Macaca mulatta: one gene and its partners. The protein of the gene in region 2 binds, or shares a complex with, the protein of the main gene of each other region. Links are inferred from orthologs where the notes say so. Each region holds a gene or a part of one and is shown on either strand. Other genes may lie near its edges. The genes, in order: ELAVL4, G3BP1 and CAPRIN1.

Region 1 (3,650 bases), on a different chromosome or scaffold from region 2:
AAATTTTTTGGGCCTGAATTTAAGAAGGATGCATAATTACAAATTTATGCCTGAATTGTATTTCTGCTTTCAACCCCATAAGTTTCTTCTTTAAGCTCAGATGCTACTGTATGTCTCTGCTTGTGCTGGAGAGGGTGCTAAACAAACCAAAGTTGACAATTTTGGTTTTGTATACCAAATTAAAGGCTGTCTTCGAAGCTGTCACTCCTATTCAAATCCACTCGGTGAACTACCAAATTAGCATTCTTTCAGTAAAGGAATCTGCTTGTTTAAACATGTGTCTTTAGAAAACAAGGAACAACACCATGAATCAGTACTTCTCAAAAATCTCACTACAGTTCTGAAGGAATTCTGAAAAGGTGATTAATAATATTCACTAATATAGCTGGCAGACTCTGTATTTTGAAGGTAAGGCTACACTAAAAATACATTTCCTATATAGGAGTAGGAGGAAGAATCATATGGTTAACTGGTTTTAATTTGGTTTGAATTATCATCCTATTACATAAAGATTATTCAGGAATCTAAATATTGGCTTTCTGAACGTATGGGAAATTCTGTTTAAGGATAGATGTTCCAGTGCTCTGGTACAAGATCATCAAAGCCTGGCCCTATTTGGAGAACTTGATAGATATATTTTTTTCTGTTCTGGCCACTTTCCTTGAAGCATACTAGCTGTACTTATAATAATAGATGTATTTACTGAGGCACCACTAAGCAATAGACACTGTGCTAGATGCAATATATCTAGTCTCTCATTTAATCCTCACAATAAGCCCTTTGAGACAAGCATTATCTTACAATTTTTCAAATAAGAAAATTATATCTGGAGTGACTTATATTTTGGAAAGTGGCAGTGGTATTTAAGTTTTATGATTTTGCAAACTACTTAATTTATAAGGGGAACAAATTTACATGTGAATTATGAGAACAGAAGAATATATATAATTACACGCACACATATAGAATGTAATCTCTGATTTAAAATAAAGATGATGTATACCCCTATTTTAATGACACAGCTTCCTTTTTTTTAAAAAAAACTACAGGACAGTTGCTGATTAATTAAACTGTCTAGAGAAAGAAAACAAAAGTCAATACTCAAAACTGACAAGTATTCAAAGTTGGATATGAATGATTTCAGGAGTGGAGTATCACACAGTAGCAGCTTCACTGCCATCGTTATGTAGCCTAATATATCTCTAAGAAAATATTCTCACTGCCAATAAGATTACAGGGAAACTTTCCCCCAAAGAATTATAGTGTCAGTGTCTGGCAAACATTTGGTTCTCAACGAACAGTTGTCAATTAGGAGAAAATCAGAACCTAAAAATCTCATGTATTGAAGTTGTACAGGGTGTTGATTCACTTTCAAGTAAAAATTCCCTCACTTCTTAAAGAGCATCTTCAAAACAAACAGACAGATGACATAAAACAAAATACCTCAAATGCAGATCTTCATTAAGTATCTCCCTCCTACTGCAGAGTAGTTGCATTCCAGATTAATCTGCTATCCTTAGGGCCTGTTTCTCCCCAGGGACAAGGGCAGTTGTGTCAACCATTCACACATCCACAGTGGCCCCTTTTAAAACACTTGTTTCAGGCACTTGGAAGAACATTGGGCACACACGAAGCAAATATTGAGAGGAGAAGAATACATGAACAAAACTAGTGTAAAGTATAGGGAGAGCAGAGTGTGGGACTGGAAACTATAGAACAAAGGGAGGGAATGGAGGAGAATAAAAGGAGACAAAATCAAAAGATCATTTTACATGAAGATGAAGATGTGCCAAAATCTTCATCTGCTTCCCAGCAGTACCAATCTACAATAAGGTCTTATGTGGTGTATGTGGTGTAAGTTTATGACTGTGTATCCGTGCCACCCTGCAAGCAGGGTACATGATATAGACACTCAGGTGCATCATCACACATGTGCATTTCTGCTAAGATCTGCACATCTAATGGAACAACATAGCTTCAAATCCTGTGCATACCTGTAATTTTGTCTCTCACAAGTTTGCAGGATTCTATTTCACCGATGCTCCCGAAGAGACTCCTGAATTCTTCTTGGGTCATATTCTGGGGTAAATAGTTGACGATGAGGTTGGTTTTGCTGTCATCTGTGGTTGCCCCTGTTTGCATGGGAGAAGGACAGTTTCTGTTGTTGCTGGAGGGTCCATTGCTTGTATTGGATGTCGGACCATTTGACACCTGAGGCTCCATGGTGCTAATTATCTAAATAAAAATAAAAACAATTGAAAAAGCCTTTTGAAATCTCAGACACAACCAAAGTCTCTTTTAAAAGTTTATTTATTTTTTTGAAAAGAAAGAGAAGATAAAGCAAGATGGAGCAAGAGACTGGGTTGTGAACACAGCCAATTTAGAAGCCTGTTTTTAACCAAAATGTTAAACTCCCCTTTCTATTTTTAGGCCAGCCCATAGATTTTGAACACAGACTAGAATGCAGTAGGAACTCTCCCATTATTTTGTTAATGAAAAGCTAATTCCTGTTTTCATTACACAACTACTCTCAGAAATGTATACTTAAGCCACACCAAATTATAATTAAAATGTAAAGTAATAATCATGATTAAAATTATAGTTCCATTAAAGCTGAAAAAGCTAAATATAGAGGGCTACACTCACAAGATCAAATACAGTACCTGTTTATTAACTATCTCATAAAATAAAATGACATTAAATTAAGTGGGGTTGTTCAATATGGGAAGGGTTTAAATTTTTCACTGATGCTTAATCACTGATCAAACTTTAGATTTTTATAGGTACATGCTAGGTAGCTGCAAAGTCCTCTAATGTCTTTTTTTTTTTTTTTAATCTAGCCATTCTGTTATTGTTTCTCCCAGACCTCTAATAAAACAAAAAACATGGAGGCAAAGTTTTCCTTAGGTCCGGCACCGCCTGAGGCTGTCCACTCACATCTTACTCAAAAAGGACTTTCTCTTGATTAAAATATTTAATTAAACAAAGATTTCTGGCTGGTGTGAATGTTCTAGGCAGCATGCATGAGAATAAAGAAATGAATGAATCCTTATCTTCAAGGAGCTAATAGCCTATAGAGGACAAAGACAGGTAAACAGCTGGTGTAGGGCAATGACCATGCAATACAGAAGCAATTACTTCTGCTTACAGGATAGGGAGATTCAGGGAAAGTTCTGAGAAGATGCTAGAATAGGGTTTTATAAGAAAAATGAGTTTAAGCTCATGAAGTCAGGTCATGAAGATGCCCTGTATGGGATGACAAACATGGAGAATTGCAAAATTCCAGAGCCGGAAGGCGCTTAAGGGAACAAAATCTAGCTCAACACTCTCACATTGGACATGAAGCCCAGAGATGTCCAATTACTTCTCTGATATCATATAAAAATGAGGGCAAAGTCCAGGCCTGCACCCAGGTTTCCTGGCCCCAAACGCAGCCCATAATTTGCAACTTTCCATTTTGTCTTATCACCATCCTCTATTTGTCCATCATAAAATGGCTTCCATCTCCTCAGAAATTGATCATCAACTCTTTGGAAATGAAATCATGCTCTGCCACTTACTAGCTGTGTGACCTTGGGCAAGGAACTTAAACCCTAAGAGCCTTCATTTTTCTCATTTGAAAAATGGGAACAATGCCACCTGTCTTGCAA
Region 2 (3,650 bases):
ACTTTGAAAGAAATCTTTAAGCTCTGATTTGTCCACTTCATGAGGCAGGTTGCCAATGAAGAGTTGGTGACTGTCAGGGTGTCTCACCATTCTTCGGGGTTCAATGTCACCTTGCTCACCAGCCTCACGGACTTAAAAGGAGACAAAAACATCAATTAAAGGTAAGAGAAAGAAGACATCTTTCAGTGACTGCTCACATTCAATAGTTTTCCCTCTACCGTAAAAACAGGCAATTCCATCAACCCTACAATATTTTTATTTTAAAGTATATAAATATCAACTGCCCTCCCAAAATAAGCTCTCACCTCAAAATCCCCCAAACGAGAAATCGCCCTTCTGAGCTCTTACTTGGTCTGGGTCCCCTTTGGGGAGGAATATTTATTCGCTGTTCTCGCACTCTTTGATCCCTTTGAGGTCTCTGTGGTGGAATCTGAGATTCAGGCTTAGACTCTGGACGGGGCTGAAAAATTTTAAGTTAACTTTTGTGTTAAAACAAAGCAGGCTTATCCTTTTTCTTAATGAAGTTTCTTAGCTAACAAGTTTTAAACTAGAAAATGGACAATTCCCTAACAAGAAAAATCATTAAAAACCACCTTATACCCTTCTCTTCTGTCTTATATATCAGTTTTGTTTCTACATTGATTTGGGTTGTTTTTTTTTTTTTTTTTTTTGAGCCAGAGTCTCACTGTGTTGCCCATGATGCAGTCCAGTGGCACAATCATGACTCACTGCAGCCTCAACCTCCTGAACTCAAGCAATCCTCCCACCTCAGCTTCCTAATTAACTAGGACTACAAATGCATGCCACAAGGCCCGGCTAATTTCTTATTTTTTGTAGAGACAGGGTCTCACTATGTTGCCTGAATTGGTTTCAAACTGGTAGGCTCCAGTGATCAGCTGGCTTCAGCCTCCTAAAGTGCTGGGATTGCAGGCATGAGCCACACTGCACCTGACCAGTTTTCACACTCTCTAAACCTCTGTTGAATCAAATTACCAAAATATAAGTACACTTGCCTAATGTACAAGTTTTATTAAGACCTTACCTGTGAAGCTGGTACTTTAACAACATGAGGTGGTATCCCAGTAACTGGAACAGCTCCACTGGGTGGAAGGTTCTTACTGGTCACAGATGCCCAAGAAAACGTCTAAGGGAGCAATACCAACATTACATAATTATACCATGTATCAAAACAATATAAAAGCTACTAACTCTTGATTTCCTGTACAAAACAAATGGTAACACATTCTCACAGGCAGGATGGAGTTTATACATATATTAAGATTCTTCTCTTCCAGCTATTCAAAATTTAGTATTGAAATTCCTTGGGACTGATGATCAGGCAAATCTGAGAGGCTTAGGTTCAAGAAACTACTCACTTTTTTTTTTTTTTTGGAATGCAGTGGCATGTACACAGCTCGCGGCAGCCTCCATCTCCTGTGCTCAAGTGATCCTCCCACCTGTTTCCCAAGCAGCTGAAACTACAGGCATGTGCCACCATATCCAGCTATTTTTTCTTTTTAGCAGAGATGAAGTCTCACTGTATTGACCAGGCTGGTCTTTAACTCCTGAACTCAAGCAATCCTCCTGGCCTCTGCCTCCCAAAGTGCTGGGATTAAATGCGTGAGCCACAACGCCTGGCCCAAGGAAAGCTACTTTCATTCAAATTTGTGAATCAAACAAAATTCCCTCTCCTCCAAAATCAGCTCAGCTCTTCCTGCTGTCATTCAATCCAATCCATGGTACAAACATTGACTCAATTATATCAACTGTAGAATCATCATGAACACCTTTCTCACACATTTAAAAATTGTCACAACCTGTTATTCTACCTAATTATTTCTTTTCCATTTCCACTGCCACAACTCTAATTCAAACCATCATCCTCTCTTACTAGGTTTACTATAATAACCAACTAAGTGGTCATCTGGTCCAGTCAAACTACTTTCCCACTTGCTTCTTATTGTTTTGTTCTTGTGACAAGGTCTTACTCTGTCTCCCAAGCTGGAATGCAGTGACATAATCACAGCTCACTGCAGCCTTGACTTCCCAGGCTAAGCAATCCTCCTCCCTCAGCCTCCCAAGCAGCTGGGATCACACATAGGCATCACCATGACCAGCTAATTTTTTCCACTTGCAAGCTAAAGTCATTTCAACATTGCTCTTTCCTACTCACCTATTAGCTGCCAGAGAGCAAGAACCCCTATCTGTTTTGCCAATACCTACACTTTGAACAATGCCTAACACACAGCAGGAATTTGAATTAATTGTTGAACAAACAAATGACATAACCCTGAGCCTATCAATACAGCACTAAAAATTATATTCCTTCTCAGAGTGCCAAATGTAAAGGTTTCATGAGTTCAGTTAACAACACCCTAATAAGACTCAGGAGGACAAACTGAAAACTTCCGAAATCAGGTATGCCAACTAGCAAAGAAATCTTACTTCAGCAGTTCATTCCTACTTCCACTATAAAGTTATCTTCAAAAAAATTTCATAGAAAAAGTATATTCTGCCATGTTGTTTTCCTTAAAAAGATGTTATAAATTTGTAGTAACAAGCATGTAATAATTTATAGTGTAAAAGCTTGAATATTAAAAAGATAAGGAATCACTGACACGGTGCTACAGTGGCACCTAAACTTTCTAGTCTAACAGGCATTCAAGTTACCTAGGGGAAGGGAGTGGTTTTTTTTGATGAAATAAACTAATACACATCTTACCTCTCTCTTATCAAAGGCATGGCTCAATATCTAAGAAATTTCCCTGAAATGAACCACCAATATGAAAATGTATCTACAAAAGTCAACCGAACAGCAATACAGAACAGAGATTTCTCTTTTTTAAAAAATAACTAGAAATAGAATAAAAATGAAGACATGTTTCATACCCTCAAGTCTTCCTGTACTGTCTGAGCTATGTCTGCAGGTGCTGGAGAAGAACTCTTCTGAGTATCCTCAGGAGCAGTTTCTTCTAATACTGGCTCAGGCTTTTCCTCTTGGATTTCAGATACAGGTTCTTGTTCTGGTTCTGGTTCAGGATCAGGCTCTGGTTCAGCAACAGGCTCCTCTAAATGTTCTTCCATGTCATTACTTTGATGGAAAAATTTGAGAAATATCATTCTGCCACCATTTATTTCGCAAAAAATTCCCCATCATTTATTAACCAGAAACCAGAACATAGAGTTAGCTCCCTCTATTCAAAAAAAAAAAAAAAAAAAGCTAAGAATTGTATATCTGAGTTTTTAAAAAGTAATTTTTAAAATGCCACTCAATAACTTCACTGGAATCCATTTGGGCAAATTCTGATAAGCAAATGAATCAGGACATCAAAATGAACCAAACCACTTTATGGCTGGAATCCCACAATCATTACAATTCATTTAGCATACAACATCAGAAAAACTCTCAAAATAGGCTGGGGGAGGGGGAAAAGAAAGTTGCCATTCAATGGGTACAGTCTGTTTGTAAGGTATATGAAGTTATCTTCAATAAGATTTGTAAGGTGAAAAGTCCTAGAGATCTGTCATACAACCGTATCTATACAGTTAACACTACTATACTTTATATTTAAAAATGGTTAAGATAAAAAAAAAGGTTAAGATGGCAAATTTTATGATATGTGGCTTTTAACACAAACACACAAAAACTT
Region 3 (3,750 bases), on a different chromosome or scaffold from region 2:
TTTGTTAATGTAACTACATCTACTATTCCAAATACCTATAACAAAACACACATTTATCAAAATAAATGATTGGAAAAAAAAGATAGAAATCCCAAGATTAGAACATCTCTCAATTTCAAATAAAGTCCATGAAATTCAAGTAAAACTCCCAACCTTTAATACTGAAGAGGAGACAGGAAGTATCAAATCTAAATGTTTTAAAACTCTCCCAAAATGTAAAATATATCAGTAAATACGTAAAACTAATAAGACCTAAACATCGCCAGTTTTCTTCAACTTATTTCCCACAGCCCAAGTTTTAGCCAGTTACTATATCAGCACCTAAGTAACGCTATTAGGTATCTGGCTACATAAACACTGCAAAATGATTTCCTGGAAATTCAAGATGTTATAAAAATGTTTTCCTAGAGGCAGACAGTAGAAGTTATCAAACTTTCATTTTACAAGGTAAAATTCAAGTTAACATGATAGTCACAGACGTAATTACCTCGTTTTCACAAACGACTAATTTGTTTCTCCCCTTCCACCTCTGATCTTACTCATTTTAATTATTCACTCTGCCCAGACCTTTTCTCTACATACATACACACGCCCCTCTAAACAGAGTTTACACTGTCCTGCGATGAAAGCATAAAACAAAAGGCTGACTTGCAGATGAAGATATACCTCAGTAGTGTGATCTACAAGGACTAAATATTGAATCCAAAAAATCGTGGGTGTGGCTCGATTTTTCTTTTTAGAGGGGGGCCTAAGGAGGCCAGTCCGGGCGGCTGCCTGGTCTCTGCCCTCCCCCTCTGCTTTCGCTTTGTGCTCACAATGCAGCTCCAGTAAAGCGCTTCCCTCTCCCCGCAGCCGCCGCCATGTTAGACGCTCTCTCCATGTGCCCCGAGTCCCAGCCATCCTCTCCAGTCTCCCCAGGACCCAGCCCCCAACGAATCTAAATCCTGGCAGTCCCCCGCCCCTTCAGAGTCCCCTAGGAACAAAAAGTCGCTGCAGAAAATCATCTCGCGATTGAGCTGAGCGTGAGGCTCGGGGGGACACCTAAACAATTGAAACAAAGAGGGAAACGCAGGGGAGCCCATCGCATGGGGGCGGGGGTAGCAAATCGAAGATCCATTCAAAATGGGCCTGCCGGAAAGGCAGTTCTGCCTTAAGATTCTAAACACACTTCTCTCCCACGGAAGAAAAGGGGACGCTCGACAGGTCTCAAATGCATGGTAACCGAGCGGACAGACCGCAAGGCTACAGGACACAGGCCGCCCCAACTCCACGAGGCGCTTGGTTGAGCCCGGAGCCCCCCGCGCAGGGACCTCTTCATTTTGGGCCCTCGTCAGAGAAATCGGGTCTCGGAGACGGAGAGAAGGGCATCATACAGTGATGTCCTGACGACAGGCCCCCACCCTCACATGTCCCACTCCCAAAGGCCAAAAGCCAGACCCACAGCGGAAGAGTAATGAAGAGGCCTGGGGGACAGTGCCGCGTCCGAGTCAGGTGACAAGTGCCTCCTCCAGGAGCCCGTTTTCTGGGCACGAAGCTCCCGCTGAACGTGGAGACGGGACGTGGGGACCAGGGGGTGGGAGGAGGGGACCTAGTAACGCTCCCGAGACGGAAAGAAGCGCAGACTCCAGCGACCAGGGTCGGAGCGGGCGCAGAGCCCGGCCGCAGCCACCCCTCCCTTCCCCGCCAACTCCTGGCACCTTTTTCTTCTCCAGGTTCCGAAGTTTCTTGTCGATCACCCCGAGAATCTGCTTCATGGCCTCGGTCTGGACAGCGCCGGTGCCGGTTGCGGGGTGCTGAGAAGCCGGCGCGGCGGCCCCGGCTCCTGCGGCAGCCTCACTCCCGGAGGAACCCGACGGCGGAGGCGGTCCGGACGACTTGCTGCCGCTCCCGCTGTGGCTGGTGGCCGAGGGCATCTTCAGACCGCGAGGGGAGAGAAGAAAAAGCGGGAGGAAGGACAAGAGCGGCGAGTCAGGAGACGGACGGGGCGAGACGCGGGACAAAACGCGCAGCGGGCGGGAGCCTACGCGAACGGGTGGGGGAGGGGGCGCGGCGCGCCTCGAGGGCAGGAAGAGTGCGCGGGCGCGCGCGCGACCCGCCAGCGGGGCGCCCGGCCGGGCCTCGCACCGCCCCCCGACCCGCCCCTCCCCCGCGGAGCCGCCGGCTCGGCCTACCAGCCCCGCGGCTCCGAGGCTCGCGCCGGGGGCGGGGCATCGCCGCGCCGGCCGCCAACGGCCAGTGCAACGGTCCCCAGCTGGGAGGGCCGGCTTTCGCCGGCTTCCAGGGAAGGGAGGAAAGAGGCCGCGTCTTGGGGGCAGAGAAGGGCATGGGAAATGGCCGGGGTGGGGTGGGGGGACTTGGGGGCAAGCCCCTCGGAAGCTCCAGCAGGTCCGGAGATAAAGGACACTCGGGCGCAGCGGCCCTCTTCCCCTGCAGCGGCTCGGTCCCGGGTGGCGCTCACCGTGCGCGCGCGGAGGCCGCTGGAGATCACGAGTGGGCAGCTGAGGGGGCAAGGGTGGCAGTGCCTTCCGGGCAGTGTCGCGCGCTCCGTGGGCGCAAGCCGCTTCGCCCTGTCCCGCTTCACCGAGAGCCGCTCCTAGTGAGGCGAGAGCCGGGAGCGGGAGGAACTTAGCCAGCCAGCAGCCCTCTGGGGCGCGGGGGGCGGGAGAAGCGGAGAGCGGGGGCCTTCGCGGCCGCTCGGGCTGCCCGGCGCGAACGCCTGCCTGGAAGAGGCAGCCTGCTAGCCTCTCTGCTGTCCCCTGGCCCCTGCGCTGTGGGGCGCCTCCTGGACGCAGGTGGGGATGGCCCCGCCAAGGCCGAGGGAAAGGCGCCTTGAGTTTTGAGAGCAATCAACGCTAGGGTCCTTCAGGCGAAATCGTTTGACGCCCAAGCGGGGACAATAGGTGTCAAGCAGCTGGGTCTGGAGCTGGCAACTGCCCCTTGAAGAGCCCTTATTTGGTGGGGGTGGGGGTTGGGGGGCAAAGGTTTCTGCAAGTAAGGGGTGCGTGGGGTGGGTGGTGCAATCCCGGCTTCTAGAATTCCTTCTGTATGCAGAGCGAGCAAACTCCATACCCCATAACGTCTTTTGAAAACAAGACAACTCGCCGCTTCCCCACCAAACAATCACCCAGTAACCTAGGAGTTCTCTGTAGAACGTGTCGGACACGGTCATGGTTGGTGGCTTTTTAAATCCTAAAGCTCTGGCCTCAGAGTCTTCAGCTACCCTATGATGTTATCTATCCAGTAGGCCTGAGTATTACGAATTATTAGACTTTTGTTTCCTTTTGTTTCAGGTTTACCTAACACTGTAAAGGGAATGTTCAATGAAATACAAAGAAAACGATTACTTTTTTTTTCCAAGAGAATTATTCCAGCCTTGGAGTGGAATGGGTGTGGACAGTGAGCAGAGAAACAAGAAACCAAGTTCTGGAAGGAAATAAAATGAATATAATCAGTGGAAAATTCAGCAACGCAATATTGTGCGACAACAGTAAATGACCAATTTATAATTTAAATTCTATGAAAAAGAGATTTAGAAGAGAGTTCTACCAAGCCCACTGTTGCCTAGGGAATGAAATGAGTAACGCTGGCTGGCAACAGTGCATCCGGAGGGAGCCTGGAGAAACAACAGCAGCCTCCGACCTCAAGATAGCCTGGTTAGCTGCAAAGTCTGTTATATATTCATTGGAGTATTTATTGTGCACCTTACTGTGTGCTGGGAACTCTTAAGTGCTAGGGATTATGAGCAAAACA

Evidence for each region.
Region 1: G3BP1 (region 2) and ELAVL4 share a complex: the UniProt entries of both Homo sapiens proteins name them as parts of the TAU mRNP complex. The link is inferred for Macaca mulatta from reciprocal best matches to the Homo sapiens genes G3BP1 and ELAVL4.
Region 3: the proteins of G3BP1 (region 2) and CAPRIN1 are in contact, whole or in part, in a crystal structure (PDB 8TH7), measured with the Homo sapiens proteins. The link is inferred for Macaca mulatta from reciprocal best matches to the Homo sapiens genes G3BP1 and CAPRIN1. Residues at the interface, in NP_005745.1 of Homo sapiens: Glu4, Lys5, Pro6, Ser7, Leu10, Val11, Glu14, Phe15, Arg17, Gln18, Thr21, Leu22, Met29, His31, Arg32, Phe33, Tyr34, Gly35, Lys36, Gln58, Lys59, His62, Leu114, Glu117, Asn122, Lys123, Phe124, Tyr125; in NP_005889.3 of Homo sapiens: Met363, Gln365, Met366, Gln367, Gly368, Pro369, Tyr370, Asn371, Phe372, Ile373, Gln374, Asp375, Ser376, Met377, Leu378.

Annotation. Positions count from the first base shown.
Region 1 is NC_133406.1:190,517,092-190,520,741, forward strand, and holds part of ELAVL4 (ELAV-like protein 4), read right to left. Parts: intron 2,236-3,650; coding exon 1,995-2,235; intron 1-1,994. UniProt on the Homo sapiens protein: RNA-binding protein that is involved in the post-transcriptional regulation of mRNAs. Plays a role in the regulation of mRNA stability, alternative splicing and translation.
Region 2 is NC_133411.1:160,738,440-160,742,089, reverse strand, and holds part of G3BP1 (ras GTPase-activating protein-binding protein 1), read right to left. Parts: intron 3,092-3,650; coding exon 2,890-3,091; intron 1,145-2,889; coding exon 1,043-1,144; intron 461-1,042; coding exon 349-460; intron 132-348; coding exon 3-131; intron 1-2. UniProt on the Homo sapiens protein: Protein involved in various processes, such as stress granule formation and innate immunity. Plays an essential role in stress granule formation.
Region 3 is NC_133419.1:31,226,871-31,230,620, forward strand, and holds the start of CAPRIN1 (caprin-1), read right to left. Parts: upstream 2,647-3,750; 5' UTR 2,459-2,646; intron 1,914-2,458; coding exon 1,698-1,913; intron 1-1,697. UniProt on the Homo sapiens protein: mRNA-binding protein that acts as a regulator of mRNAs transport, translation and/or stability, and which is involved in neurogenesis, synaptic plasticity in neurons and cell proliferation and migration in multiple cell types.